Linked DNA regions of Oryctolagus cuniculus. The protein of the gene in region 1 interacts with the protein of each later gene in a pairwise test. Links are inferred from orthologs where the notes say so. Each region holds a gene or a part of one and is shown in the gene's direction. Other genes may lie near its edges. The genes, in order: CREB3, EMD, ITM2B, TSPAN2, APOD, KCNK1 and SYNPR.

Region 1 (4,240 bases):
AGGAAGGATGCAACATGCAGAGCTAGGGATGAGAGGTAGAGAGGGGGCTTAACAGCGAAGGAAGGAGGGGAGTGGGAGGCAATGGGACTAAGTCCCGAGGGATTCATTCATCCCCTTCTCTCACACAACGGTGGCCCCTGGTCGGCTTCCCCCTTAGCCACTGCTCTCCTCCTCCCTGGGTGGTCCCCACTGCCTGGGTCCCTGGCCATTGCCCACCTCCCATCTCATACAGAACACAGTCCAGCAATCCCTGCCCCGTAACTGTGGTGGCCACAGCAACAGCATTGAGCTTAGAGAGGAATCGAGGAAATTCTACCTGAAGTCCAGAACCCCAACCCAAAATGTGTCATCTCTCTGGCTGAAAGAAGCTCCTGTGACTAAATAAAAATGAGGGGACTTCCCTCCCCCCCACTCTCTCTTTCTCTCACACACACACACACACACACACACCAAAGGCATCGATCTATTGCCGACCTCTTAAATGTTATCTGCCCAAGGTCAATATTCCTGGCCTGGGTCTGCCCTTAGTGCCCTAATTTGTTTCCTCATTCTCATAGAATCCCCCTCCTAGCAGAGACCAGCAAGCATCCAATCCTTGATCCCTAAGGCTCAACTAATTTTTACCGTTAGCACCAAATCTGCTGACTTTAACCCAAAATGTTGACCCCTAAGTCTAAATTAGCTCACCTGTAACTTGATTCCTAACTCACCTTTTCACTGTTTATCCTTAAAACTGACCACGACAATATCCTATGATCCTTAAAATGGACTTCTAACCTAATTCCTGTTGTTGACCATTAACCTGACCCTGAACTCTTTTAACTCTGACTTACCTCTGGTCATCCCAGGAAACAAAATAACGACCTCAACCTCAACCTCACTTATTTATAAAACGGATCTAAATCACGCCAATAACTCAAGCGTTAACCCCGGCCTTACACCTCCTAAAGAGACCCTTGATTCCCAAACCCAACCCCACCTAAACCCAGACTCATCCACAGCTCTCCAGCCCAACATCCCCGCTATCAGCAAACACCAAAGCCCATCCCCGCCCTGCGCCCCGCGGCCGCCACACTCCTCACCCTTCCCCAAAACCTATTCCAGGCCAAGGACTGCTCCCGCAGAGGAGCCACCTCCCGCAGATCGGCCTGCCGAGACACCCTGGAAGCTGACGTCTCCCCCAGAACCCGCCATAGACGCGCCGCAGTCAGGGGCCGCGCCCGCCCGCCTCCCGGGCCAGACCTCGCGGCCCCACCCCGAGGTTCCGGCCCGGCCCGCCGCGGCCTACCTGCGCTGCCCGGCTCTGCGCCCCGCCCGCCGGCCCTGCTCGTCCTCCGGGCCCGCTCTCCGGCTCCGGCCTCGCCCTCCCTTCGCCACACTCGGCCACTTCCGTCCCCGGCGCGTCCCCCACCCCCGGGCGGCGCCCTGGGCCCGCGCTCTATGGTTTTGGGGACCTGCAGGAAGCTGCTCTGGCCCCAGCTCTCGATGCTCGCGAGCCCGCCGAAGACTGGCAGCCCCTCCCCGGCAGGAAGCCAGGGCGCGGCGCAATCCGGAGAAAACACCCCAGCGGCGCCCGAGTTCCCTGTTACACTCGGACTCTTCCTTTTTTCTAGCTCGGGGCGAAGGCGGAGGCGAGTCGCCGGTGTCCCCGCCCCCGGGGCGGGGACGTCCCCCTCATTTGCATCGCCCCCGGGACGTGGCGCAGCACCCGAGCCACTTCCGGCTCGGAGGGAACTACAAGTCCCGAGAGGCCGCGGGGCCGCGTGCGTCACTTGTGCTGTGTTGGAGGCCGAGGGCGACGGAGTCCGGCGGGTGGGTGGGTCGGGCTTGACAGCGACTGCCGCCCCGGCAGCGGGGAAGGCCAGCCGAAGAGGAGCGGTGGGTAGGCGGGAGAGACCCGGCGGTTGGGCTGGGGGTCGTGCCTGGGGCTCGCGTATTGGAACCGGGCTGCGAAGTGAACCCTTGAGTTTCTGCCGTAGATGTCGCAGATGGAGCTGGCGTTGGACCCTGGCGATCAGGACCTGCTCGGCTTCCTGCTCGAGCAGAGCGGAGCATGGGGGGAGGCAGCCGATGAGTCGGTGGAGGCGCCCCCGGATTGGGAGCTGCCGCTTTCCGAGGTGGGTGGGTAGGGCTCCGCGTCAGGGAGGCGCGGCACGTCCGCGAGACCCGGGTGTCAGTGACAGGCCAGGGCCTGGGAATTTGAACCCGGTGCAGGTACTGAGCGACTGGGAGGCAGAGGATCTGCTGAGCACCCTGCTGAGTCCCCCGGCGTCGTTGGCCGACCTCAGCTCCTGCGAGCCCTCGCCTGTGCACCACGATCACACTTACTCCCTCCCACAGGAGCATGTCTCCGTGGACGTAGGTGAGTGACATCAGAAAAGTTGGGAGCTAGAGGAGAGGGTCCGTGGGCCCGGCTAGTCACAATTGCCCTTTTGCAGATAGTGGGAGCTATGGGAAGGAGGAGGCTCCGATGACTCCGCTGTATGTGGAGGAGCCAACAGAGCAGGTAGCTGACTTGATTTTCAGGAGGCTTATCCCCACATTGCACGGGGCGGGGCGGGGCGGGAATTCCCATTTCTTTCGGACATCCCCATGCAACTGCTGCCTACTTCCCCGTAACCTCAGGAGGTTGCTAGGCTGGTACTGACCGAGGAGGAGAAGAGGCTACTGGAGAAGGAGGGGCTTACTCTGCCTGGAACGCTTCCTCTCACCAAGGTAAGGCTCCCATTGGTGGGGCAAAGGCTGGAGGGTGTAGGGGAGGGAGAGTGCAGAGAGGCTGGTCGACCTGTACCGGAATGCAGTCAGATAGGAGTCACTTCTAACGTTATGCTTGGTAGCAGCTGCATTTCAAAATAGCTAGCAGAGAGGATATTCAGTTTCTGATTCAAAGAAATGATAAATGTCTGCAGTGATACATGTGCCAGTTACCCTGCCCTACTTATTTTTACATTGTATACATTACTTAAATGTCACTCTGTATCCTATAGATGTGTGTAATATCAGTGTCAAAAATAAGATACACTTAAGAGGTGAACATCTTAGCAGAGTTGTTGGTTAATATGCTAGATGCAAGGGTGGATCCTGGTTTTGTGAGGCTTCTAACACATTTTGGTGTTCTAAGAAAAAAGATTTCAGAATTATCAATGCAACATTAGCGTAGGGCCTTGGGCAGGACTGTGCAAGGGAAGGGCTCTGCCACTTGGAGTTCATCGGCTTGGTGGTAATCTACATCGCGCTGAATGGGAGAATTGTTTTAGGGAGTTCAATGAGGCTGGATTAAGCCTTCTTTTTTTTTTTTTTTTTTTTTTTGACAGGCAGAATGGACAGTGAAAGAGAGAGACAGAGAGAAAGGTCTTCCTTTTGCTGTTGGTTCACCCTCCAATGGCTGCTGGGGCTGGTGCACTGCGCTGATCTGAAGCCAGGAGCCAGGTGCTTCTCCTGGTCTCCCATGGGGTGCAGGGCCCAAGCACTTGGGCCAGCCTCCACTGCAGAGAGCTGCAGGCCATAGCAGAGAGCTGGCCTGGAAGAGGGGCAACCGGGACAGAATCCGGCGCCCCGACTGGGACTAGAACCCGGCGTGCCGGCGCCGCAAGGTGGAGGATTAGCCTAGTGAGCCACGGCGCCGGCCTGGACTAAGCCTTCTAACAGTACAAATGTAGAAGCATAAGTTTTAAGTTTCAACACTGGGTGGTGACTTCACAAGCACAGTATTGTGACCCTGTAATAAAATAAGTACTTATTAAAGAAATTTTAACTTCTTAAAAGTACAAGATGAGTCAGCAGTGAGATATGGCAAAGCAAGTGGGATGTGGAAGCAGCGTCAATACATGCATTGTCTCTAAAAAGGCAAGACTGTCTTGCTGTCTTTTGTACAAATCACAGTGCATTTTAAGTGCCCAGTTTTGGGCCTGTATCTTTGACAGATACCAAGAGGATGCAGTGATGGTGAAATGTTGGGTTAAGAAGTCTGTCCAGGGTTTTTTTGTGTGTGTGTTTTTTTAAACTCTGAGGAAATGCCAACAGCCTTAAAACAGCTATGTAGAATTTTGTTCTACACGACCCCAGAGATAAGTTCAATGGATAGAAATTACATGGAGGCAGATGTTAATTCAGGGTAAGAAATTTTTCAGTGAATGAAATTGTTAAAAATGCTCTGGCACCTGTGATCTTAACACCTGGTCTTTAGAGGCATTCTGATGGAAACCAAAATGGCTACTGGTTAGGGAGGCTAGACAAGGGA
Region 2 (4,041 bases), on another chromosome or scaffold:
CCTGTGACCATCACCAGTTTGGGCCCTTCAGCCTGGAGCTGATCAGAGCCCTCGCACTTTCTTGTCACCAGCTAACATCTGTGAGGCCAGGACGGCACCTCATCTCTTCATGCACCCACTTCTGTCACTTCCTTTCGACTCCCCAAGGGGACAGCCCTCTTCTGATTAAGACCCTTGCCAACCCAGCCACAGTACAGGAACCTGAGCAAGCCTTGGCAGTCTCTCACGGCTCACCAGGCTCCTCTGCCCCTGCCCGGCCCCCTCCTGGTCACTGGGCTCAGGGCCATTCCGACTGGAGCCCCCTTCCCTTCCACCCAGTACCCCGGGTTGACAGTAGGGTGGGCTGGGAGGGCACACTCCCTCTCCGAAGCGCGCTCTGCCCGTGCCCGCTGGAACGGCCCGCCGGGCCCCTTCGAAGGCTGTTTGCTCCAGGAGTGCCCGCGTCCTCCTGGCCCAGTGCCCCATTTCCTCCCGGGTGGAGGGCGGGAGGAGCAAGGGAAGGAGGGAGGGAGGCGATGGGAACCGATGGGCGCAGGTGCGCAGGCGAGGGCCGGTGCAGGTCAGCGAGGCCGGCCTGGGCCAGGGGGTCCGCGTAGCGCACCCAAAGCGTAGACAGCAGTGGCTGGCCCGAGAGCGGCGCTGTGCAAAGGGTGGCTCCTTCCCGCTGCTGCGGGAGAACCCTCGGCCTGGGATCCCGGGAAAAGGGGGACGACGAGTGCAGGCGCAGGGATGTGGCAAGAGTCAACCGGCCCGAACCACCGCAAAGACACCCACGCCGCCGGCTCCCTAGCTCCCACGTTCTGGCCGGTTTCTACCGGTTCGGGTCGCATAGGCTCCGCCCCTCCCGCGAGTCTAGCTCAGAAGCGCCTGCGTGTGACGTCTTGGCGTGCCCGTCCAGCCCCTTTTCTCGAGCGTGCAGCCCCGCCCACTCCCACGGCCTGAGTAGTCTGAGCCACTTTGGCTCCCACACAGGCCCCGCCCCTCTTCCGCCACAAACCAATCTCGCACGTTTTTGAAATACGAGCTCGCCAGGCCCGCCCCGCCCGCTCCCACAGCTAGACCGGTCCGTGCCGGCTCCTCCTTGTGGTTTGGCTCCGCCCCGCGCAGCGCGCGCAGCCTGCGGAGCCCGCGGCCATGACGGGAGCGTGACGCAGACGTGACGCAAGCGCGGCCGCTCCCGAGCCCTGCGAGGCAGTGGTGTTGCTTGGCCTGTGTCGCCAGGCCCGGGCTGCCCCCAGCCCTTCGCCACCTGCCGGCCGCGCCCGCGATGGACGACTACGCGGTCCTGTCGGACACCGAGCTGGCCGCCGTGCTGCGCCAGTACAACATTCCGCACGGGCCAGTCGTGGGTACGCGGGAGCGGGCGGGACGCCTCCCGGGACTCGCTCTCCCGCGCGCCGTCTCGCAGCCCCCCGGTACCCCCCGCCTGCGTCCCCTACCCAGATTCCCTCCCTGGGCTCGCAGCCCACGACCCTGACCGCCCCGCGCCCGCTGTCTGGTCAGGCTCCACTCGCAAGCTCTACGAAAAGAAAATCTTCGAGTACGAGACCCAGAGGCGGAGGCTCTCCCCACCCAACTCGTCTGCTTCCTCGTTCTCCTATCGGTTCTCGGGTGAGCAGCTGGCTGCCGGTGGTGACAGGGAGGGTGGGATTTCGAGGGTGTGGCGTGGGGGGTGGGTTGCTAGCCGAGAGAGGCACTGCGAAGAAGGGAGGGAAGCCTGGGGGAAAATGGTCTCGTCCCCCCCCTCAATTCAGACTTGGATTCGGCATCTGTGGACTCGGATAAGTACGACCTGCCCAAGAAAGAGGACGCCTTACTTTACCAGAGCAAGGGTAAGGCAAGGAATTGACACCCTTAACACCATCACCCCAACACCTTCACCCACCCTGTCCCGGACCGTGGGCGTAGGGAAAACCTGAGGCCTCGACTCCCCACCAGCCTCAGCGACCTGAGAGGGGCCCCAAAAACGCTGTTTAAATAAGGGTCCCTGGAGCAGCTGGGGAACACGGGTCTGCCCTCTGCTACCAGTGCTCCCTTTTTCAAGGCTATAATGATGACTACTACGAGGAGAGTTACTTGAGCACCAGGACTTACGGGGAGCCCGAGTCTGTGGGCACATCCAAAGGCTTCCGGCAACCCGGGACTTCGCTTTCTGATGCTGACACCTCCCACCACCAGGTGAGCTGCCGTCGGGCACCTCATATCCGGGGGCAGCTTGAAGGGATGACAGCTGGGTTTGGGTAAATCCCAGCATCACTGGGTACAAATGCTAGCTCCTAGGTTTCCAGAGAGAGTTAGGATGAGTTAGGACTTTGCTACGGGGCGTGTCAAGAGTATTTGACTAGAGCACACAGGATGTGGCCTGCACCCTGGTCAGGATCTGAAGTTCCAACTCAGAATCCAGGGGGAGAAAAGAGGGTTCTGGGGTCAGTGCTGTGGCACAGCAGGTTAAGCTACCGCCTGCAGTGCCAGCATCCCATGTGCATCCAGGTTGGAGTCCTGGCTGCTCCACTTCTGATCCAGCTCCCTGCTACTGTGCCTGGGAAAGCAGTGGGGGATGGTGTGAGTACTTGGGCTCCTGCCACTCCCATGGGAGACCTGGATGGAATTCCAGGCTCCTGGCTTCAGCCTGGCTCAGCCCTGGCCATTGTGGCCATTTGGGGAGTTAACCAACAGGTGGAAGATCTCTCCCTCTCTAACTCTGCCTTTCAAATAAATAAGTAGAATCTTAAAAAAAAAAATGTTTATTTTCATCTGCTTGAAACCAGAGCAACAGGAAGACAAAAAGAGAAAGTGAGGTCTTCCATCCCCTGGTTAATGTCCTAAATGCCCAGGATGGGGGCCATGGCAAAGCCAGGAGCCCAGAACTCCATCTAGGTTTTCCACAGGGGTAGCAGGGGACCAGAAGCAAACCAGCCAAAACTTGAACTGGCACTCCGTATGGGATATGGGCACCCTAACTGGCAACCAAACCTGCCACGCCACAATGCCTGCCCTGTCTGGCCTTTAAGCAATGGTTAGAGTGGGCTGAGTAATACGACAGGCTGTGCTGACCCTGCTGGCCAGTCCCGTCACCTCGATTCTGGTCTGCAGGTGCGCAGTGACCATCTTTTCTCTTCTGAAGAGGAGGACAAGGACAGGTGAGTAGTGGGAAGGCCCTGGGAGCAGTGATTCTGGGCCTAGCTCTCCTGGCTCACCTGCTCCCCTCTTTTGCATTAGGGAACGCTCCACATATGGCCGTGACAGTGCCTACCAGAGCATCGCACACTACCGCCCTGTTTCCAACGTCTCCAGGAGTTCCTTGGGCCTGTCCTATTACCCTGCATCCTCCTCTTCTGTGGCCTCTTCGCCTTCTCCATCATGGCTCGCCCGCCGTGCCATCCGACCAGAAAAGCAGGCCCCTGCAGCTGGTCTGGGTCAGGACCGCCAGGTCCCACTCTGGGGCCAGCTGCTGCTTTTCCTGGTCTTTGCTGCCTTCCTGCTCTTTGTTTACTATTCCTTGCAGGCAGAGGAAGGCAACCCCTTCTGGATGGATCCCTGAGGGTCTTGATTTCAGAGCCAGCTCTTTGAAGTCCTGGCTGTCTGCCTTAGTGCAGTGTGTGCTGGGGGTGGGGGTGGGGGCTTTTCTGTGTGTTCTAGCTTTGGGGGCTGGGCCTAGCCCTGAGCAGTGCTTGCTCCCCCTGCCTGCTCCCACCAGGGAGGCAGCAGACTCGGGCCCTTCACGTTCTGGTAGGCCTGGGCGTGCCTTCCTCTGGAGCCTCCTGGCCCTGCTTGCCTCTGACCCTTAGGGCCTGGGAGGGCAAGACTTCACTCCTTCAGAGATGTTGTCATGTGCTCATGCATGCCTCCTGTTCGTTGTCACCTTTTTGAGGTTAACCAAGGGCCACCTCGACTTTGTTTTCGTGGACGCAATAAAGACCGTTTATTTTTAATGTGTTGGCTCTTCCTGCTGGGGGAGAGGCTGGCTGCCATGCTTTGGGGTCTCTGGGTCTTAAGGTTTTTTAAGGATTGTCACCTGGCTTTATTGATTCTGTGGTTTTG
Region 3 (4,288 bases), on another chromosome or scaffold:
GATTCTATAATTGGAAATGGAGCCAAAATCTTTAAACTAATTTGTAATTTTGCCCTTTGACAGATCGATGTAAGTATAGACATAGGAGCTTGCTTAAATAATTCCTTAATCTTCAGTTCTAATGTCCCAGGAAATCCGTGCAAGCAGGGCTCAGAGAGGTGGGGAGCAATGGCTAACTTCGAGAAATTGGATTCCATTTTTACTATCAAAAGTCAGTTCACGGGGTCAATTCAGAGAGTTGAAGCCTGTGGAAAGGAGACCCAGGGAGATCAAGTAAGTTACTGCTAATCATGTGACTAGCTTGTTTAAAACAAGCAAGAACTAGAACTCAAGTCTTCTCAGCCTGCGTTGAACACTTTGGAATTTCAGATTAGCCAAGAAGACCAAAGCGCTGAACTGGATTTCTCTCTCAGTCCCTGATGTGTCTGAAATATGTGCTCTGAAAAGATGCTGAGAACTTGGACTATTTCTCAGAGATTTCTGATCTGACATTCTACGGAGACTTCAAGACATCTAACTCTCCTTGAGCACAGCCAAATCCCCAAGAACCTCAAACTCAACCTACTTTTCTTGGGGTTGATCCAGGGCAGAGCTGACATAGTTGGAACATTCTGGAGCACACCCACAACTCTGGCTGAACCAGGCCAATCTTCTCCAATGGGAGAATGGTACAAAACCAAACCGTTTGTCCAAGGGGCCATCTGTTGTTAGTTAAAAACCCAACAGCCGTGTTGGCCAGTATCTGTTACAGCTTTCTCTGCGAAACCTCTTCAAAATAGGAGACACGAAGAGATTATCTTTCATTTTGCAGAAAAACAAGGATTCCTCACCGAGCACCGATTTGCCTTGAATCACAAATCAGCCCAGTGTGCAGGGTTTTTCCCCCCAAGTCTGCACAAGCGTGGAACATGTTGTTTTACCAGTGTGATTTGTTTGAAACAGATCTAAGAGTCTTCCTCCAAAGGGCTGTGGGATTAGGCTGGGCAGGCGCGGACATCCCGGGGAAGGCAGATAAAGAAAACAAGACAAGACTGCGTGAGGCACACCCTTGGGTGAGGTCCTTGGAACGGAGGTCAGACCCCAAGGGATAGAGAGAGCTTTGAATATTTCCGTGCTCCACTGAGGCGGATTCCTACTAAGAGCAAAAGGAGACGTGGACGCACAAAAATTCCGCGGTCTTGAGGCTCGCGGAGGGGCGGGGGCAGCGGCCGGGGAAGAGACAGCCTGGTGCTACCTAAAGTGGATCCATTGTACGCGGCGAACCCAGGAAAGTTCAGCCGATTTTCCTATGAACCTGCAACACTGAGTCCCAAGGCAAACCGGCCAGAAACGAGTTCAGAATCGGAAAGGCCAGGCGACTCAGGAGAAGGACCGACCCTTGAACCAAGCACGTCACCCCACTCCCGCGTTCCTCTGGCCGCTGGGCCTCCGCTGGGCCTCCGCTGGGCCTCGGGGCCCGAGAAGGGGCCGGCCCCGCCCCCTCGCCGCCGGCCCCGCCCCCGGCCCGGGGCTGCGCGAGCCGTCTCCGCCCTCGCGCTGAAGCTGGGTGGCTGCTAGGGCCGTGCCGCAGTCGCCGCCTCAGCCGTCGCGGAGCTGCCCGAGTCTCGTCTGCCGCCGCTGATCCTCGTCCGGAGCCCGGCCGAGGAGGCTGCAGCCGCAGCCGGGAGCCCGCAGCCCGCGCCTCCAGCCCGCCGCCGCCGCCGCCGCCGCCCTTCTCCGAGGGCGCCCCAGGCCGCGCCATGGTGAAGGTGACGTTCAACTCGGCTCTGGCCCAGAAGGAGGCCAAGAAGGACGATCCCAAGAGCGGCGAGGAGGCGCTCATCATCCCCCCGGACGCCGTCGCGGTGGACTGCAAGGTCCGAGCCGGGGGGAGGGAGCGGGGTGCGGGACCCGGCGGGAGCGGCTCCGGAGCGGGCGGGCGCTGCTCGCCCTCCTTTGTGAGGGAAGTGCGTGTGCAGGGAAGCGGCGCTCGGCGCTCGCCAGGCCCGGGAGTGGACGCGTCGAGAATTGCGCCGCGTTCCCTCTGGTTTGTGAGGCCCGGGCTGGCGGGCTGGCTGGCTTGGTTCCGCCTGGGTCCGGGCGGCGACAGCAACACAACAACAGCCGAGTCCGGGACTTCCCTTCCCAGGATAAATAATATCCCTAAAATGGCTGACATTCCAAGCCTAAACCTCTGTTGTTTGCTACTTTCGTTTCTAGCCGAGCAGCACTTGGACTAAGTCCAGCCACTGCGAGCGTCTTCGTTTTTTCAAGCATTTTCCTCTTCACTGCCTTTTTCCACGGCCCTTCGGTCCTGGCGGGTGAACCTCACCGTGGGGTCCGGAGAAGGGGGGGGACAAGGTGACAGACAGACTGCCCGGAGTAGGTTCTGGCCGTGTATCTCACAATGAAAACCGATTATTCCCAGTGAAGGTCAACTGTTAGGTAGATGTGAGGCTAAATCCAACAGTTGGCTTTCAGATCGTCTCACCGAGTGCTCCTACTGCTATAAAGAAATTTGCCCCCGGGTCCCTAATGAAATCCTCCTGCTGTGTTAACTTTTAGTTGCTTGCAGGATTATTCATTTAAGCTGAGTGGAATTGTCTCAAAAGTTACCTCTGCCTACCAGATCGTCTCTAGGCTGCAGAAATTCCATCCTGCAGAAGTTAACTGTAGAAGTTGGATCGCTTAGCTTATTTTTTCAGTATCACTTTTCAGGACCTGTAAATTTGTTTTTAAAAATACAGTCGTCTGTGGGCCAGGTGTGAGTGATAAAAAATTTTTATATGCTCTAATGAAAATTACTCCTGAAACGTAGGCCACTGATAGAAATTGAAAATGTAATGTTAATCTGGACTGCAGAACTGGCACGGGTCGATTTTTTTAAGTGACTGCCTTGCTTTGAAACAGGAACAGTGAACGGATTCCCTAAAAGGATTAAAGGTTTGGGGTTTAGGATTGGTATTGTTTTTCTGAGCCCATTGTAAACAGTCTTGGTCTTAAAAGAAAATGTTTGGAATGTATAGACAGAAATTTCAGTAGGAAATTATTATCTTAGGTCTTTAATATATTCCTTGGGTCTAAAATAGGTTGACAGTCAAGTACTCAATTACTACAACTCAGATATATACATTATTCTAAACGCTATTCCATGTATTTTTAAAATCTTATAAACAGATATAACTCCTCCCAGTTTTTTTTAAAAAAAAAAGAGAAGAGAAAGCACTGGATGATGTCACTTCAGACAGCTTTGCTGTGTTCCACTGTAGTGAAGGAGGTTTGAAACTCTGGGCAAATATGATTGCATTTACTGAGCTGCTTTAAATCTATCTTGACAGTTTCTGTCGTTCCTGAAGTTCTCAGAGTTTCTCACAAGTTCACCATATTTAAATTTTGTGGTCATAGCAGCTATAAAAGGTGAGCTATGTATTCGAAGCTTTGTGCTTTGTTTTCTGGTTATTTTCTCAGATTCTCATATCTAAAGAAAAATACTAGGACTGGCAATGAGGGCCAGAGTCTTCCTTTGTATTTTTTTTTTATTTATTTTTATTTTTTTTATTTTTGATAGGCAGAGTGGACAGTGAGAGAGAGACAGAGAGAGAAAGGTCTTCCTTTGCCGTTGGTTCACCCTCCAATGGCCGCCGCTGCAGCCGGCGCACCGCGCTGATCCGATGGCAGGAGCCAGGATCCAGGTGCTTTTCCTGGTCTCCCATGGGGTGCAGGGCCCAAGCACCTGGGCCATCCTCCACTGCACTCCCTGGCCATAGCAGAGAGCTGGCCTGGAAGAGGGGCAACCGGGACAGAATCCGGCGCCCCGACCGGTGTAACCATACAGCCGTCATGGATGAATTGGTAGATAGAAAATAAGTCCGTTTCCAGCTTTAAGCTGAAAAGCACGAGTTTTCTTTAAGTGGATGGCAGATTTTTTCACTGCGTTAATCGTTAAAATCAGTCACTTACATGCAAAGGAAAAACCTGACTTGCTGAGAGACATTTGGGAGAGAACTTCTGATCTCTCCATCTCCAAGCTTGGGCGGTGATTACATAATGTTCTGCCGCTCCTTGGGGATGAGTGGCTGTGTGGCAATCACCTTGTCTGACTGCCTGAGCTGGGAACAGAATTAGTCTCAGTTTTACCTGGGGCATTTCCTTCCCTTGATTGGTGTTGAGAGATCAAGTGAAGCTAGTTATGGTCCAGAACTGCGGGAGACAAATGTCTAATACCTTTAACTCTCCTAGACCACAACATGCCATAACCCCTGTTACTGGTATTTTTCAAAGTGTGCTGTTAAGGACCACCTGCTTTGGT
Region 4 (4,068 bases), on another chromosome or scaffold:
TAAAGAGGTGGTGCCTAATGGAGGTCTCAGGAGGTCCTGCTCTCCAAGGGGATGAAGGGAGTTCTCCTGGGACCCCTAGTTAGTGAGTTGTTACAGAAGAGCCCCTCCCTGGTCTCCGGCTTCCTGCCTAGCTATGCAGTGGCTCCTTCTTGCAGGTCAAAGGCCAAATTGGACAGAGCCTCTGACGTTGGACTTCCAGCTTCCAGACCGGTGAGCTGAATAAAACCACTTTTCCTTACAAATCACCCAGCCTCTCGCGTGTTTTGTTGTAGCAACAGAACACAGACTGATACAGTTTCCCTGGCCAATGCACTGCGACACAGGTGGTGCCTGCCCAGCACCAACCCAAGCCCTCTCACCTTGCCCTATTTATGTACTCACAGATCTGGGTTCACCACCAGCACCAGGCCTGGCTGTCCCCTCCTTGCTGCACCCCTGGGGCTGGCTGCTACGCATGACCTGTAACAGACGTTTAAAGCTTAGCTGAATCAATGCAAAAGCTGGTGGATTCCACACTTTCCTGTCTCCTGTATACTGTCTGACACCACATATTGTAGATAGTACAAAGGAGTGGGAGCCTCCTTTTCCTGCCAGCAGCCCAGCTTAGTAAAAACAAAGCAAAGCAAAACACGCCCCCTTTCCTCCCTTCTCCACATCACAATTCAGATCACCGAATCTGAACGGCTTTCCAGCTCTCCCGTCGGCGAATCCAGCCCGGACGCGGGGAGTCCACCACCCCTGCACCGGCCGCCGGGGCGGGGGAGCCGCTGCGAGAAGCCGCCTTCTCGCAGTTCTTGCCTATTAAGGTAAGAGGCTTCGGCTGGGCGCCGGAGCGGCCGGGGGAGGGTCCCCGGGAGCCGCCTGGCAGCCCGCGCGCCCGCACCGCACCGCGAACCCAGGCCCGGGGCCCGGGTCGGCTGCACCGGCAGGCGCGCGGCCGGCTGCAGCGCGGCCTCGGGCTATCTTCTCTCTAGCACCGGAGTCGCCCTCCTGGGTTTCCATGGCCACCGAGGCCGCGTCCTCAACCCTCCACCTTCACCTCGGGCCTCCAGGGAGCCCCGGCCGCAGGCGACGCCCCTTCCCCGCGGAGTTCGCGTCCTCCCTGGAAGGCAGGGCGGGAGGTGGGGCGGCCCCGGGGTGCGTGGGAGGAGCACACGCGCCCCCTCTGGCCGCGCCCCCACCGCTCGCCGGCCTCCGCGCTTCGGGTCCCCCCCCTCCCCGGGCCCGCGCCCCGCCCCCCGCAGCCCCGCCCCGCCCCGCCCCCTCCCCGCCGGCGCCCGCCGCTCTTGGCGCTCGGAGCGCGGGCCTGGGGACTCGGGAGCCCGCCGCCGGGGCAGCAGCATGGGGCGCTTCCGCGGGGGCCTGCGGTGCATCAAGTACCTGCTGCTCGGCTTCAACCTGCTCTTCTGGGTGAGAGCCGAGCCGGGAGGGCCGGGCCGGGCAGGGGCCGGCCGGGCGGCGGGCGCGGGGCCGGGGTCCCCGGGGAGCTGACCGCTGCGGCGTCCCGAGCCGGGCTCCGGGCAAGGGAAGGGTGTTCAGACGGCGGAGGCGAGAAGAAGGCAGACAAAGGGAAGGCAGAGAAGGGAACGGGAGAAGGGCAGCGGCGGCGTGGCTCTTCCCCACGAGGGAGCCCTCTGCCCGGGGTAGCATCCCACAGCGGAGCCACCAGGTGCTGCTCCTCGCCTGCCCAGGCTCGGTCCGGGGCGGCCCCCAGATCCGCCGGCCTCCTGTGCTACCCCCGTTTCTCTCTGCCATCCTGCCCGTGCCCAGCCAGGCCGGGTGTTGGAAGCGACACCCCTGGCCTGGAGCCGCGGGGGGTGGTACCCCTTCCGTAGCGAGTGGACGCACCCCCTGGCTCCTGGTGGTTTTGTGGAGGAGACTGAGGGATAGGAGTGAAAACGGTGAGGGATGGGGGCAGGGTCGTCCTTCTTCTGAGCATTAGGGGAGGGTGCTGCCGGATGGGGGGTGGTGGTGGGTGCTCTTCCGTGACAGGGGTGGGGGATGGAGGGGTCTCCCAGAGACATCTGCCCCCAGGCCCCAGCCCACAGCCCGCAGCCTCTGCTAAGCACTAACGCTCCCAGAGATGATCTCATTCAAGTTTGCAGCGTTTTATTGAACTGACTCCATTCCCAGAATTAGTGGTTCGCAGAGAGGGAGGGCTATGACGCGTGGCTCCTGTATTCCTGGGGCACGGCCAAGGCTAGACCATCCCCAGGTGCCAGGACACCTGGTCCCGGGCTCTGGAGGACTGTAAGACCAGGTCTGAAAACTGTGTTGTTGGCACCTTCCTTCGTGGGCTTCCCTAAGAGAGCACCAGCCAGTGCTAGGTCTCAGGTGGTCTCACAGAGGGCTCCTTTGGGTGAAGAGGTTCTTGGAGCCGGGAGGAAGCAGCAGGGCCCCGGGGGTGCTTTGAACCCACTGGGCTGGAGGTGAGGTCCTCCTATCTGCTCTGAGGAGGCTGTCTTCGCATGACTGCAGCCAATGAATTATTGAACAGTGGGTCCCGCTCCCATCTGCCAGCCTATTAGCCAGGAAGGCTCCGGACCTCCGGCAGCTCCAAGCTCTGCTGCGGCCGAGAGGCCTCCCAAGCAGCCGGCAGCAGGGGCGAGTAGACAGGAGGCGCACAACAGGCAGCCCCTGCGTTTTGAAGAGGCACGTGGCATTTGTACACCTGGTATTTATTTCCAGCGTACTACAGGGAGAGCCATGGCAGAGTCCCGTATGTTGCATTTTTTAGTAGCCTGCCTTAATTTCAAAAGCCGTGAATAATAGATGTCTTGCTGTAGTGACACCCTTCATTCTCTATGCTTACAAATCAAAAGAGGTTTTGAACAGCCTGAGAAGGAATTTGTAGGCTGGGTTCTGTGCTTATCCATCGCCTGATGCTGTGCCAGCATTCCCAGGCACAACTGGAAGCATTGACTGAACGTGTGCAGTGGGTCAGGGACAGAGCTAAGCGCACTCCTTTCACTATTACACGTATTATTACTTCTTAGTAGTAGTAAGTCATCACACGCTTACTACTGTTATCCCCACGTTTTGCAGATAGGGAAACAGAGGTTCGAACAGGTTCACTTGCCCAAGATCCCCCAGCTCAGGGCAGAGACAGGGCTCCCCTCAACCTACCAGCTCTCCAACACCGTGGGGCGTTCCGTTAAGCAGGGGTTCTCAAAAGTGTGGCTCCTCAACCAGCAGCCTCAGCATCTCCCGGGAATTTGTCAGACAAGCACACTCTCAGCTCATGGGACCCTGCAAGTGTTTCAGCCAACCATGCAGGCGATTCTGACCCATGCTCCAGTTTGGGAACCACTCTTAGAAACAATTCACGGGCAAGACATGATTTATGAATGTGGGACACTGTCCACCCAGCTGCTGCTCTAGCTGTGGAGACACGACTGATACATATAGAACAATGACAAAAAGTAAGACAGCTTGTTGCCACGTGACAGATTTCACACTGTGGTCTGTGAACGCAGGCAAGAAGGAACGGAGGAATGTTTGAGTGGCTCCACTGTTAGCCAATGAGGTTAGCCATGACCTTGTAAGTGCTCTAACTAAGGAGTTTACAGAAAGGGTCAGAGCACTGGCGGAACCCAGAGAATACTCCTACAAAAGGACATGTTAGGGTGAACATGTGGGACTGGTGGGATGGGGGTGGGCACAGGTGAGCCACCCGTGGAGGGGCAGAGCCAGGGGCCAGTGAGCTGCCGTCTGGCCTGGGAAGCAGCAGGCTGGAGAGCAGAGAGCCCAAGAAGGGTGTTCTTAGGCAAGTTATTCTTTCCTCTAGCTGGTACCGGAGTTGTTGAGAAGATTAACAGGAATCGTATGAAGTATCTGCCCTCACCTTCCTATGAACCTAGTGCACAAGAAGTGTTCAGTGTCATTGTTTTCATTTTTCAGTGCCGGCATGTAGGAAGCGTTCCATAATGTTAGCTCTCTTTCCCCTGACCCCTTTCATGGCGAGGGGTCGTACACAGGTGCTCGAAGCGACTTGGAGCTCATCTTCACTGAACAGTAACTTCACATGCCCCTCCCCCTTTGACCTTCTGAATTCTCCCTGGGAACAGG
Region 5 (4,074 bases), on another chromosome or scaffold:
TCCCTCGGTGTGGACAATAACGTGGTAATGGCCTCTTGGGACACCCACGCTGAAATAAGACAGGGCTTATGTCCCCGTTGGCGGTCACATCATTGAGAGGACAGCACAAGCTGCCTGGTCCCCGAGGTCTCAGGAGACCTGAGCCAGGCCTGGCCTCCCAGTGCCCGTGTCCAGTCCCCTGAGCCTTCCTTCCGCTGCTGCCCACGGGTGGCCATTCACAGCATGGCGTGTGCCTAACACGCTAGCACTGTTAACACGGGACCGCTCTGAAATCACAGATGGCTGGGACAGAGGGGTCCTTACTTGTACCTGAGCAGTTAGGCTGTGTCCCCCAGGCCGGGATGCTTACCACGTCCCTCGAGGCAGTCCCTTCGGCAGTCCCTTCGGCAGTCCCCCCACCCCTCCCCCGCAGGCTGCTGAAGTGGATCTGGGATGGGCCCTGCACTCATCCTCCTAGCCGCCTGTTCTTCAGCATGCCTGTGCTCTGCGGGATTTCTCACGTGTCAGCGCCTACTCTGCCTTGGGTGAATTGCAGGACCCCCCCCAGCAGTGATGGGCTGCCTAGCACATGGAGCTGGCAGGGTCCTGAAGGCACAGAAAGAGGAGCCACCGGAGCCACCTTCTGCTTTCTGGGCTTGCAGAGCTGGTACCTCCCTCCCTTCCACATGCAGCTCAGGAGGGGACAGAAGTGACCACCTCTACTGCACAAAGAGGACTCTGAGGCTTAGGGAAGCTGAGGGTTTGCCCAGGACACCACAGCAAAGCAGCTCTGGTTCCTACTCCTCTCTGCTAACTGAGCCCCACTCCGGTCCAGCAACCACATGGGGTGGAGTCCAGACTCTGTATTAGAAAAGGGAACTGTTGACTGTTCATTTACAGAAAATGAAAAATAAATACCAGCTGTTTGAAAACATACTGCAACTCATCTTGCTGGAATTTAAAAGTGCATCTGACTGGAAAAAATTAAATCAAAGAAGTCCACGTAGCAAAAAAGATGTTTTGAATGAAAATGTGCTTTCTCTCCCTGTCTCATTTACATACACACACACACACACACGCACACACAATAACTCCTTGTTTCTTCTTAGGAGAGCAGCTGTGAAGGAAACCGGGGGCAGGGGAATGGACACAACATCCCATCTGTGTTTCATACAGAGCTGGGCTTTTAGGCCAGCTCTCAGAACTGTAGGGGGTGTGGCATGCATGCAGATTAAGGCCTAATGACCCAATGAAGCTTATAAATAACGTGGGAGAAGCCAGTCACCAAGAGAGCTATCTCACGTCGGATGAATTCGTGGACATCACTCTCTTCTTGGTGAAAAAAAAAGGTATGTACCATAGTTAAGTTTTCATTTATGATAAATAATGCTTAAAATAGAAGCAGTCATGGTCTTTCATTGTTCCCTTTCAACTAAAATTCAGAACCACCGATCGAGGGCCTATGTAGTAGCTTTATGAACTTGGTCTCACTTTTTCTTCAAACTAACATACAAGGTAGGTATTATTAGTGCTGTTTTTCAGGTGCCAATACTGAGGCACAGCTGTGATAAGCATCAGGCCTAAGATAAGACCAAAGTCAATGTTGACTCACCCCAAGCCTTCTGTTTATGCTATGCCTTCCCCCTTGTGAATGAAACAATGAGACAATTTTCCACGCACCAGTACCGCACTAGATGAGTTCTCATGGAGTTATCCAACTGTGCATTACAGTGAAATTAAGTGAAACCTGGAACTAACTGTGGGAATAGAAAATGCACTTCACAATATGGCATAGAAATATTTCCTTCCATTCTTGTTGGAGTTGGTGGCCAAGTGGGTTTTTTTTTTTTAAAGATGTATTTACTTGTGGCAACATGTTTTATTTTGTATGTGCAACCTTAAAATCTGCAGCTCCCAGAGATACAGGACTGTGTCCACAGAAACCCCCACGCACCAAGAGCAAGGGCTCTTAGGAGAGCTGAGCTTAAATTCTGGCTTCGCGGTTTACCGAAGGGGAGGAACTGGGGCCATTATCTCCATTAGGACAAAGAGAATATCTGCAGAGATCATTTCCAGATGAGGTGTTGTAGAGACTCAGGGCAGAACACACTTAAAACACTAATGCCAAGCCCTCACCATGAAGAAGATCAATGGGTGTATGCAGAGATTCGCAGGCAGTGCCTGGTCCAAGATAGATGCAGTGTTGCCATAGTGGAATTACTTTTTAGTTATTTAATATTCAATTTAAAATAATATCCAATAAATTCTATCTCCTTTTGAAAGTATTTAAAGCTCTCATTTGGGCAAGAAAAATATAAGTGTATGTCGTATGCAATCTATATGTCATCCAAGGTCATAGGCATACCTTAATAACACGCTCGCTAAGTGTTGGGTGACCCCCACGGAAGGGGAATTGGAAAATGCTGGCGATGCTATCAATCCTGCATCTCACAGGGAGCTCTGACCATGGGAATTAAGCTACTGCAGCCAAGAAGCATCTTTGGGAGAGGTGCAATCAGGGGGATTAGTCTTGTTCTGAAATCCTCCCACAGAGCTAAAGAATATGTTCCAGCCCACCAGGAACGCTTTGTAATAAGACATTTGTCAGAATCAGATGGAGAACTGCCTTTTGTTCTAACTGTCACGTGCTGACGCCACATTCGTCTCAGGTCACAGAGGCAAGTGCTCATGGAAAGACAGCACAGGAGCGTGCACAGGAGGAAGCCGGGGGCCGAGGCTGGAGTCACAGCTTCTCCCCTCGAGGCCTCAGTTTCCCCATCCGCACACTTGGAAGACAGCGTGGGGGGGGGACTGGCTAGGTGCCCTCCAAGGCCCTGTCCATGTTGGGGGGAGTCTTGCAGAACATGCATAGAGTGGCCACCCTCTGCAGTTAGATTCTCTGTACAGGGCACTTGGCTTGGGTCTTCTGAGATGAGCCGCCGAGGTTCTGAGAATCTCTTGAAAATGAACACAGATTTCTGTGGGCTTGGGTTGCATTCCTGCAAGCCCATCATCCCTGAAAAGGTTAAAAGACAGGAGGCGTTTATTTGGTGGTGGGAGCGGATGGGGAAAAGGAGTCTCCCAGAGGAAGCAAGGTGGTGCCAGGCAGACTTCACTGGGGGGGGGGGGGGGTGAGGCTGGTGGGGGAGGGGGCTCTGCTACCACCCCTCCCCCACCAGCCTCAGCTGGTAGCTTTCCCTCATTACATAACCGTTCTTTTGAAAACCAGGCAAGGAAGCCTCCAGAAGACAAGCTATTGATTATTAAAGTTATCTGGAGGCTCCGAGGCTTGTAATAAAGTGGTTATAATTATGCCTGTTATGACACAGCCTTTTAAATGCTCAGATCTGAGAACACTGTGCATGCGTTGACTCAGTCAGCCTCATCCAGGGAGAGGCAAGGAGCTGGAAATAGCTCGTGGCAGCTTAGCTTAGCTACCGGCTAAGCAGCCACAAGGAAGGGAGGAAGCAGGAGTTCAAGGCCAGCAAGTGGGGGGAGGGGGAGAGGTTGGGGGCCGGGCATGATCTCCCTCCCCTAGCGGGCTAACCCTCCTCAGGACCCTCCGGTTGGAACACTTGGCTGCACAATCACCCATCAGCTGAAGGTCCTTCCCTGGTTAAATGCCCAGTGTCTATGAAAAATACTCTGAATAGAATGTCAAAAACAAGGAAGTTTGGGAAATGCAATAATGCAATCATCTGTAGCTGCCTTTCAACAACAACTAGGGATCCCGGAGCACTGAGACTGAAGTACTAGGTCATCTCATGGATTGCTCACAGCTATGAGTGTTAGTCCCACTTCACAGACAGCCACTGAGGCACAGATAGACCCAGGACACTACTGTGCAGCAGAGCCAGAACTCAAGCCCATTCGGGGTGACCCTGGAGGTCCCCCCCCCCAAAACATACACGCCCCGCTCCCTGTGGAGGTCCCAGGCCCACTCTCAGGCTGGCCAACAGGGAGGCCTAAGACTTCAAACCCTGCACACGATTTTGTTTGTTTAGCTTTTCCCTCTCACGGCTTGCTGGAAGGCTTCTCTCGCCCGCTTTACCTGCCGCTGCCCCACGCCGCTGCTGTTCCTTTCTGAGTCTGACA
Region 6 (4,254 bases), on another chromosome or scaffold:
GCTAAATTTTTATACTTGATGCTGATTGAATATCCCCAATCCTGCATTTGTGAACTTCAATTTCTGAGCCCAAGTCAAAGACTTGCCTACAGAGCTAACATGTTTACAAATTATTCTCATCATGTCAACCCATTGAGATAATTATGCCTATTTAAGCCTAATTATCGTGCAACACAATACTGATCATTTATGTCATCCTCCAGTGCAGAGTTTGTTTCTTATAAAGCATGGTTACTATTCCACAGGTTATGTCAATTCGCAGGAACTCTGATGAATAAATCAGAGGCAGCCTTGCTCCCACTCACTTAACATCCTCTTCCCCATGCCAATTCCACCCTTGTGAATCTCTGCACTCTTCTGAGTTTTCTTCCACATTGAGGGCAGCCCCTGGTACCCTGGGATAAGGGTGAGGCAGCGGTTCACCCTATTTGGGAACATTTAGAATGCTTCTGATTCTTCATTATTTCATAAATGTGTATCACATGCGTGCATGTATCGATGTTTATGGACAACTTACATAGAACCCGTGGCCTCTCCGACTGTTTTTTTTCTGGGACACCCCACCCAGGACATGTATACTCTTTCAAGGCTCTGAAACAGCGCCGAATTACCTTTCCAGAAAGGGGACACAATTTTTAACTCAATAAGGCTCTCACGCCCTTAAAAAGAAACGCTCGGGGGAAGCTGTTTCTTGTAGTAACTGACCCACTGGAAACTTTCTTTACGGTAAAACCCAAGGTCACATCTTAAAGAATCAGAGTTCAGAACCAGGGCCTCCCTCAGGTCCTCCTAGGGAGGGGGATGCGTGGGTGGGAGGAGACTTCTGGCATCCAAGGAGGCTCTGGCACCAGGCTGCTCCACTGTCTGGCCAATGAGACAGAGAAGGCAAGTGTCCCGGCGCTGCTTTGGGGGTTGACAGGGAGGAAATACGTGGGGAAGCGAGAGTAGCTGGCACTAGGGGCTTGGTCCGCGGGCGCATTGACCCGAGATTTCCCACCCTCCTCTCCCGGAGCAGTTTGCTGGGGTTCGGTTCCTGGCCCCCAAAAAGGAGCGGGAGTAGCCCGAGGCGGCCGGGCAGAGAGAGGGTCTGGCTTCACCGAGTCCCCGGCTCACCCCTTGCGAGCGGGCGTGGGGCGGGCGAGTCTCCTCGGCCCGGCGCTCGGGCCAAGTTTGCGCGCCGACTCTCGGGTTACCTGAGCCGGCAACCACGTCAGCGCCACATCATCTGGGCTTTTTATATTGCGAGGAAACAGGAAAAGAAGGAAGAAAAACAGCGCCGGAGGGAGCCAATCGCTGGGAGACGCCCGGAGGAGCGTGGCGGGCGGGCGAGCGCGCAGGACAGCAGGCGGCGGGCCGGGCCGAGCCGGGGCGCGAGCGGCGGGCGGGAGGGGGTGGCAGGCCGCGCTCCGGCCGGTCTGCGGCGTAGGCTTCGGCTTTGGCATTGGCGGCGGCGGTGGCGAAGATGCTGCAGTCCCTGGCCGGCAGCTCGTGCGTGCGCCTGGTGGAGCGGCACCGCTCGGCCTGGTGCTTCGGGTTCCTGGTTCTCGGCTATCTGCTCTACCTGGTATTCGGTGCCGTGGTCTTCTCCTCGGTGGAGCTGCCCTACGAGGACCTGCTGCGCCAGGAGCTGCGCAAGCTGAAGCGGCGTTTCGTGGAGGAGCACGAGTGCCTGTCGGAGCAGCAGCTCGAACAGTTCCTGGGCCGGGTACTGGAGGCCAACAACTACGGCGTGTCGGTGCGCAGCAACGCCTCGGGCAACTGGAACTGGGACTTCGCTTCCGCGCTCTTCTTCGCCAGCACCGTGCTGTCCACCACAGGTAGGCGGCCGCCGCAGGCCCCCCAGAACGCCACCTCGCCCCACAACCCCTGTCCCAGCTCCCCTGGCCCGCCTGTCGCCTGAGAGCACCTGCCCCTAGAGTGCCCCCGGCTCTCCATCCCTCCAACCCCTAGGGCGCTTCAGGCCCCTCCAGCCCACTCCCAGGTTCCCAGGTCCCTCCCCGGGTCCCTGCTGCAGTGACTCGGGAAGGGCAGGTGCTGCGAGCCGGAAACCACGAGGTGGACGCGGAACAGGACTTGGGTGTTGCCGCTCGTAACTCTTGGGAAGTGGTCCCTACGCCCTTCCGTCTGGGCGGCCGCAGGTGCCTCCTGCCGCCGGATACCCTACGCCGGGCCTTGGAGTTTGGATCTATAGCCCCTTGGCAGCCAAGCGCAGCTAGTGGGCTGGGAAACACCGGCCAGTGCTCGCTGGCGCTCACCCTCCTCCTGCCCTGGTTCAGGAGGGCCCCTGCGGCCGCAGAGTCTGAGGACACTATGCTTACGGGTCACCTTCCCAAGGGTGACCTCTCTTGCGCTCAAGCGTACCTATTTCGGTTCTTTTGTGCCCGGTAGGCAGTTTGGGGTAGCCGGGTGACATCACTGGGCCCTTGGCGCGTGACCTCTGAGCTCACCGGTCGATCGGGTTTCTTTTCAGAGTAGGACGGGTGGGGAGAGGAGAGGCGAGGGAACATCGATGGCCTGTGATCTGCCAAAATGCGGGCACCCTGGTTCAGCGGGTGTTTCAACTTTTAAGTGTGCGAGGAGGCTGGCGGGTGAACTTGGAAGCGGCAGCCGCAGGACGCTCAGGAAGGGAGGCGCGTCCCGGCGTGAAGGAGAAGAGGCGCCTGCCACAGGGCGCCGACCCTGCCCGGTGAGGTGAACCGAGGCCCGGGTTCCCTGGCTGTGGCTTGCCAGGCTTCTACACCTGGACGGAGGCGCCGGGCGAGCCTCCGGCACAGTCCCTTCTTGCATCCGTGAGATCCAGTCCTTACAATGGCCCGTCTTGGTGTGCACAAGGTCACACACATCTTCCTTACCCATGTACTCCCGGCGTCTGGGCCTTGGGAGTTCCCTGCCTGGAACACATTGTAACCCCTCCATCTGCCTCCACCCTTCCAGGTGATTCAACAAACCCTTTGGTTAGGACTAGGACACTTCCTGGATTATCGCCTCTTGTCCACCTCCTGGGGTTCATTTGCTTATAATCCTCTTTGGGCTATACCTAGTTGCTTGCTTTGGTAATCATTTGGTGATGAGTAATAATACAGTAGATGACATAAAACAATTATTCGTGAGTCTGGGGTGAATTACTAAGCCGATGTGAATTTTTCCTAAAATAGAAGTGTAATTCTAGCTTGCTATTGTGATGTTTTTAAAACTGTGTTTAAGGTATCCTTAAACAAGACAGACCTGTTACCTCACTTCCCAAAGAATGTGTACTCTTTTGCCAAATTCTGTCTCTGTTGTCTTTCTCTAGCTCTGTTTTCAGACCGCTTAGAAGTTGCCATGCCTTTCTTTTGGTTCATGTCTGTGCTAGATTGAGACTCATTCATTCTTCCCAGAAGTGAGAGTCTCCACTGGGCTGCTGAATGTTTACAGCCAGGTCACAGTGTTGGGTAAACATTTTGAACAACGATGACAGCTTTTAGTGTTTTCTTAGTAATGGTATTTTGAAGATGGAACAGGAATAGAACAGTGCTAGGTAGTGCACTGTTGAGTGTTGCTATCACTGATGATGCTCATATACTGTCATCAGTGTGGACCTAGTTCAGTGTCAAAAATGAATTTGATTTTGATAATCCCCCCCCCCTTTTAAATTAACAAAAATGTAGCTGCTGTAAAAATGGAGGTAGGGATAAATGTCTTATTATTGGTATGCAGTTTACATTGTAGTTCCTAAGAAAGTCTGCATTCATGCAAAACAAGAGGTCATTTAGGAAATCAGGGCAAGGGACATGTAAGGATAGACTAACTGAAAAAGGTGCCTTTTGGTTTGTACAACTAGTGGGTCAATAAGCTGTTGTTATATGAATAAAAGTAGTCTGAATGAAAGATACTCTCCTATTAGTTTTGTACTCATCCATTATTTGACTAAGTTGAGATTCTTTGGTCTCAAAACACTGATTCTGTGCCAGAAGTTCAGACAATTTTTAGAGCAAAGCTGATAGACTTAATTACTAAGGAAAAAAATGTCCTGGAAAAGGACATTGTTTTATGTGAACTGAAATGTATTGGAATCGCTTTTATTTTTTCAGGTGGCTATTAGCCATGTGTTTTTAAATTGCCTTTAAAACTCTTCTCATCCCATTGGTGCTGAGTCGCTGAGACAGTTGTGAGTGCATCAGCATAATCCATCCTTGACTTGTCTAGGACAGCATTGATGGGCATTATAAAGACAGTGTTCTTGGAAGTCATCCTATAACAGGTGCATGCGCACAT
Region 7 (3,500 bases), on another chromosome or scaffold:
ACCTGCTAACACTAACCGATAGAATAAATAAAGGGGAGAGTGATCCAACATGGGAAGTGAGATACTCAGCAGACTCATAGAATGGCAGATGTCCTAAATAGCACTCTGGCCTCAGAATCAGCCCTAAAGGCATTCAGATCTGGCTGAAAAGCCCATGAGAGTATTTCAGGCATGGAAAGCCAAGACACTCTGGCAAAAGATCTCTGTGAGTGAGATCTCAGTGGAAAGAACAGGTCTTCAAAGAAGGAGATACCTTTCTCTGAAGGGAGGAGAGAACCTCCACTTTGACTATGACCTTGTCTAAACAAGATAAGAGTCGGAGAACTCAAGGGGCTTCCATAGCCTTGGAAACTCATGACTGGAGCATAGGGAGATTACTGATGCCATAGACAGGAGTGTCAATTGGTAAAGTCAACAACAGGAGTCACTGTGCACTTACTCCTCATGTAGGATCTCTGTCCTTAATGTGCTGTGCATTGAGATTTAATGCTATAACGAGTACTCAAATAATATATTTCACTTTGTGTTTCTATGGGGGTGCAAACTGTTGAAATCTTTACTTAATGCATACTAAACTGATCCTCTGTAAAAAAAAAAAAAAGAAAAAAAAAAAGAAAACTATCAACTCCCAACTTGACTCTCACTGGGATTAAACATGACAATAGGTCTGATCTGATTTCATCATCATTAAAAAAAATCATCTATTATTTTTCACTTTATGTTTCTGTGTGGGAGCAAACTGTTGAAATCCTTACTTAATGTATACTAAGCTGATCTTCTGTATATTAAGATAATCGAAAATGAATCTTGATGTGAATGGAAGGGGAGAGGGAGTGGGAAAGGGGAGGGTTGTGGGTGGGAGGGACGGTATGGGGGGGAAGCCATAGTAATCCATTATTCGTACTTTGGAAACGTATATTCATTAAATAAAAGTTAAAAAAAAAATAAAAAATAAAAAATAAAAAAAAAAATACAGGTGATCTGGAAAATTGTCCTAGTCAGTGAAACATACTCTGCTTACCCCTTAGAAAGTGACTTCCACTAGCCACCTCTTGGAATCAACAGGAAGCTATGGAATTAGCCCCCTCTGGAAGTACACAGATGCTGGTTCTCTGAAATGGTCATTGCCTTACATACAGAAATATTGTATGATGTGGGCCAAGAAACTTGTTTCCCCTGCACACACAACAGGTGGCTTTGATGCCAAACACATCAGACTTCAACTCTGGCTCCACCACTTTCTATGTGTTACCTTATGTAGCTGAGCCTCAGTTTCTCTATCTTTAGAATGGATGTTATATATAACTACATAAAAGGATTATAATAAGGAAAATTTTACATAAAACTTCTCATCCATGGTAAGCACTTAGAACACATAGCTATTATTGTCTCCCACCTTTTTAAACACATCTGCAGGCATTGCAATAAATAACTTGTAGGTTTGCTGAATTAAAAAGTGAATAAATGAGTAAGTAGTGACATCCAGAAGTGTTTAACAACTGGTAAGTCTCTCTACATATTTGAGATCATGACAGCATTTTAGTTAAGTGGTTGGACTCAGTATTGGATCCCAATACATTCCCTGCCTATCTTTCATGTTCTAGACATGTTGTTCAACTGTTTTCTGAGTTTGTAATCTACAAATAGGATGATGGTAAAAACTCCCTGACAGGATGCTATGAGAAAAATAGATTATGGTTATCATGTCCTTAGCATTACTCCTGGGACATAATAAGCATTGAATAAACACTACAATTATTTATATACAAGTATCATAAACCTTCTGTTCTTTGTTTTTCATCATGTTTCCTCTATTCCAATGTTACAGAATATTCTAAGTTTCCAAAAGGCCAAATAAGTACATAAACTTAACCATTTGCTTTTAGAATTCATGTTCCCCTTTGCTGTTTGCTCTCTTCTGTTTCTGTAGGACTTCATCGTCACCGTAGTCTTTTCCTTCCTGTGGTTGGTGGGTTCATCTGCTTGGGCGAAAGGACTATCTGATGTCAAAGTTGCAACAGACCCCAAGGAAGTCTTATTACTGATGTCAGCTTGCAAACAGCCATCCAACAAATGCATGGCTGTCCACAGCCCTGTCATGTCCAGCCTCAACACTTCCGTGGTGAGTAGGCTTGCATGTGTGCTTTCCTTCCCAAATCTCTGTGTGTCAAAGGAGTAAGACTAGTATCTCAGAAGTCATCTTGGAAATTTCTGCCTCCAAAACTAGACCTCTCAAAGAGGTGATCTTTCACCTCAGGTGCAATGTGATGCTTTGGCCTTCAAATTCTTTATTGTGAGAAGCCGTAGACTTGAATGCCACCCATTGCAGAGTTCTTAATGAGTACACAGCAGGTATTAGCAGCTGCTGTTTAGATAACAGTCAAGTCAAAATTTCCAGCCAGAAGCAAATGTAAAATCTGAGCTTTAATCCTGAAGCTTGTCAGAGAAGTTGAAAGGACTATGTGATGGCAATAGAAGTCTATTCCTGGGAAGAAACATGAAGCCACATGTAGATCACACCTTATTGATTAAAGAAAAAAACACAGACCTAGTAGGCTACAAAAAGAAATACAGTACATGGTATTAAAAGGTACTTCTAATGGTTATGGTAATGTATTTTTGTCTTCTCTGTGCTCCCAGTTTAATTACTTGATGATTTTAGAAGATCGGCATTATAGTAGTTGAACAAAGTCAAATATTATTAACAAGTATTTAGCTCTAACAAAGAGAGACAAGCTGACACCAGGGACACTAAATTGGATTCTTAATTTATAAGTGTTAAAACTTGTGTTATTCTAAAAAGAGAAGCTCTCTCTCACAAAGACATAAACTGTAGTGGCCGGGAAAAGCAGCAGTCATCAACAGATACAAGGCTCAACCATGTTTGTTGAAGCAACAGCATTCTTAAGTAAACCCTAAGAAAAAATTATCTTTTCTTCAAGGTTAGCCTGTGTTTGTACAGCTTTCTCAAATTCAATCTGGGAAGACAGTTAAGAAAGGGGAAAATGTTTCTACTCTGGTCCTGATGACTTGACTGAATCCTGCCTTGGTGAGATGGTAACCATGGAAATAAACTATATACGAGGGTCTCGAAACTTTTTATTAACTATTGGCCATATATGCATATGAATAGTTCAAGGTATGCATTAACAAATATAGTTATTATTCTGTCATTTGTTTCTGGACAGTGTTTAATAGAAGCTATTGTCACTCTGATCTCAAAGCATAAAGGGACAAAAATCAAATTACTTGATGTATCTCTTAGTCCAATCATCTCCTAATAAATTATGAGACCCTGTATGTTCCCTTTAATTCCACTTCTGATATCTCTAATAAACTTTAGATTGAAATAGGAATTATGAGTGAAAAACAAAATGATGTGCTTGTAAAACCAAAAAGAGAGTCATATTAAAATCAAATCATATGTTGTGCTTGTAGGTATGTATCTATGTCCCTGAAGAGCCTTTTAGTTCCTTGTGACAGGAAACTCCTTTCCAACT

The links.
Region 2: the proteins of CREB3 (region 1) and EMD interact in binary tests that used the Homo sapiens proteins (3 or more experiments, as listed by UniProt). The two-hybrid records come from large-scale screens. The link is inferred for Oryctolagus cuniculus from reciprocal best matches to the Homo sapiens genes CREB3 and EMD.
Region 3: the proteins of CREB3 (region 1) and ITM2B interact in a two-hybrid assay, tested with the Homo sapiens proteins (2 studies listed by BioGRID and IntAct). The two-hybrid records come from large-scale screens. The link is inferred for Oryctolagus cuniculus from reciprocal best matches to the Homo sapiens genes CREB3 and ITM2B.
Region 4: the proteins of CREB3 (region 1) and TSPAN2 interact in a two-hybrid assay, tested with the Homo sapiens proteins (2 studies listed by BioGRID and IntAct). The two-hybrid records come from large-scale screens. The link is inferred for Oryctolagus cuniculus from reciprocal best matches to the Homo sapiens genes CREB3 and TSPAN2.
Region 5: the proteins of CREB3 (region 1) and APOD interact in binary tests that used the Homo sapiens proteins (3 or more experiments, as listed by UniProt). The two-hybrid records come from large-scale screens. The link is inferred for Oryctolagus cuniculus from reciprocal best matches to the Homo sapiens genes CREB3 and APOD.
Region 6: the proteins of CREB3 (region 1) and KCNK1 interact in a two-hybrid assay, tested with the Homo sapiens proteins (2 studies listed by BioGRID and IntAct). The two-hybrid records come from large-scale screens. The link is inferred for Oryctolagus cuniculus from reciprocal best matches to the Homo sapiens genes CREB3 and KCNK1.
Region 7: the proteins of CREB3 (region 1) and SYNPR interact in a two-hybrid assay, tested with the Homo sapiens proteins (2 studies listed by BioGRID and IntAct). The link is inferred for Oryctolagus cuniculus from reciprocal best matches to the Homo sapiens genes CREB3 and SYNPR.

The regions. Positions count from the first base shown.
Region 1 is NC_091432.1:198,639,632-198,643,871, forward strand, and holds the start of CREB3 (cyclic AMP-responsive element-binding protein 3), read left to right. Parts: upstream 1-1,440; coding exon 1,441-1,878; exon of another isoform or gene 1,879-1,882; intron 1,883-1,979; coding exon 1,980-2,117; intron 2,118-2,214; coding exon 2,215-2,362; intron 2,363-2,438; coding exon 2,439-2,506; intron 2,507-2,625; coding exon 2,626-2,715; intron 2,716-4,240. UniProt on the Homo sapiens protein: Endoplasmic reticulum (ER)-bound sequence-specific transcription factor that directly binds DNA and activates transcription. Plays a role in the unfolded protein response (UPR), promoting cell survival versus ER stress-induced apoptotic cell death.
Region 2 is NC_091453.1:132,604,237-132,608,277, forward strand, and holds EMD (emerin), read left to right. Parts: upstream 1-1,267; coding exon 1,268-1,349; intron 1,350-1,503; coding exon 1,504-1,611; intron 1,612-1,754; coding exon 1,755-1,832; intron 1,833-2,044; coding exon 2,045-2,178; intron 2,179-3,093; coding exon 3,094-3,140; intron 3,141-3,219; coding exon 3,220-3,541; downstream 3,542-4,041. UniProt on the Homo sapiens protein: Stabilizes and promotes the formation of a nuclear actin cortical network. Stimulates actin polymerization in vitro by binding and stabilizing the pointed end of growing filaments. Inhibits beta-catenin activity by preventing its accumulation in the nucleus.
Region 3 is NC_091440.1:67,251,882-67,256,169, forward strand, and holds the start of ITM2B (integral membrane protein 2B), read left to right. Parts: upstream 1-1,488; 5' UTR 1,489-1,739; coding exon 1,740-1,856; intron 1,857-4,288. UniProt on the Homo sapiens protein: Plays a regulatory role in the processing of the amyloid-beta A4 precursor protein (APP) and acts as an inhibitor of the amyloid-beta peptide aggregation and fibrils deposition. Plays a role in the induction of neurite outgrowth.
Region 4 is NC_091438.1:55,278,106-55,282,173, forward strand, and holds the start of TSPAN2 (tetraspanin-2), read left to right. Parts: upstream 1-1,268; 5' UTR 1,269-1,341; coding exon 1,342-1,410; intron 1,411-4,068. UniProt on the Homo sapiens protein: May play a role in signalling in oligodendrocytes in the early stages of their terminal differentiation into myelin-forming glia and may also function in stabilizing the mature sheath.
Region 5 is NC_091435.1:84,039,948-84,044,021, forward strand, and holds the start of APOD (apolipoprotein D precursor), read left to right. Parts: upstream 1-1,274; 5' UTR 1,275-1,327; intron 1,328-4,074. UniProt on the Homo sapiens protein: APOD occurs in the macromolecular complex with lecithin-cholesterol acyltransferase. It is probably involved in the transport and binding of bilin. Appears to be able to transport a variety of ligands in a number of different contexts.
Region 6 is NC_091444.1:53,016,388-53,020,641, forward strand, and holds the start of KCNK1 (potassium channel subfamily K member 1), read left to right. Parts: upstream 1-1,454; 5' UTR 1,455-1,462; coding exon 1,463-1,817; intron 1,818-4,254. UniProt on the Homo sapiens protein: Ion channel that contributes to passive transmembrane potassium transport and to the regulation of the resting membrane potential in brain astrocytes, but also in kidney and in other tissues.
Region 7 is NC_091441.1:86,155,172-86,158,671, reverse strand, and holds part of SYNPR (synaptoporin), read left to right. Parts: intron 1-1,930; coding exon 1,931-2,122; intron 2,123-3,500. UniProt on the Homo sapiens protein: Intrinsic membrane protein of small synaptic vesicles. Probable vesicular channel protein.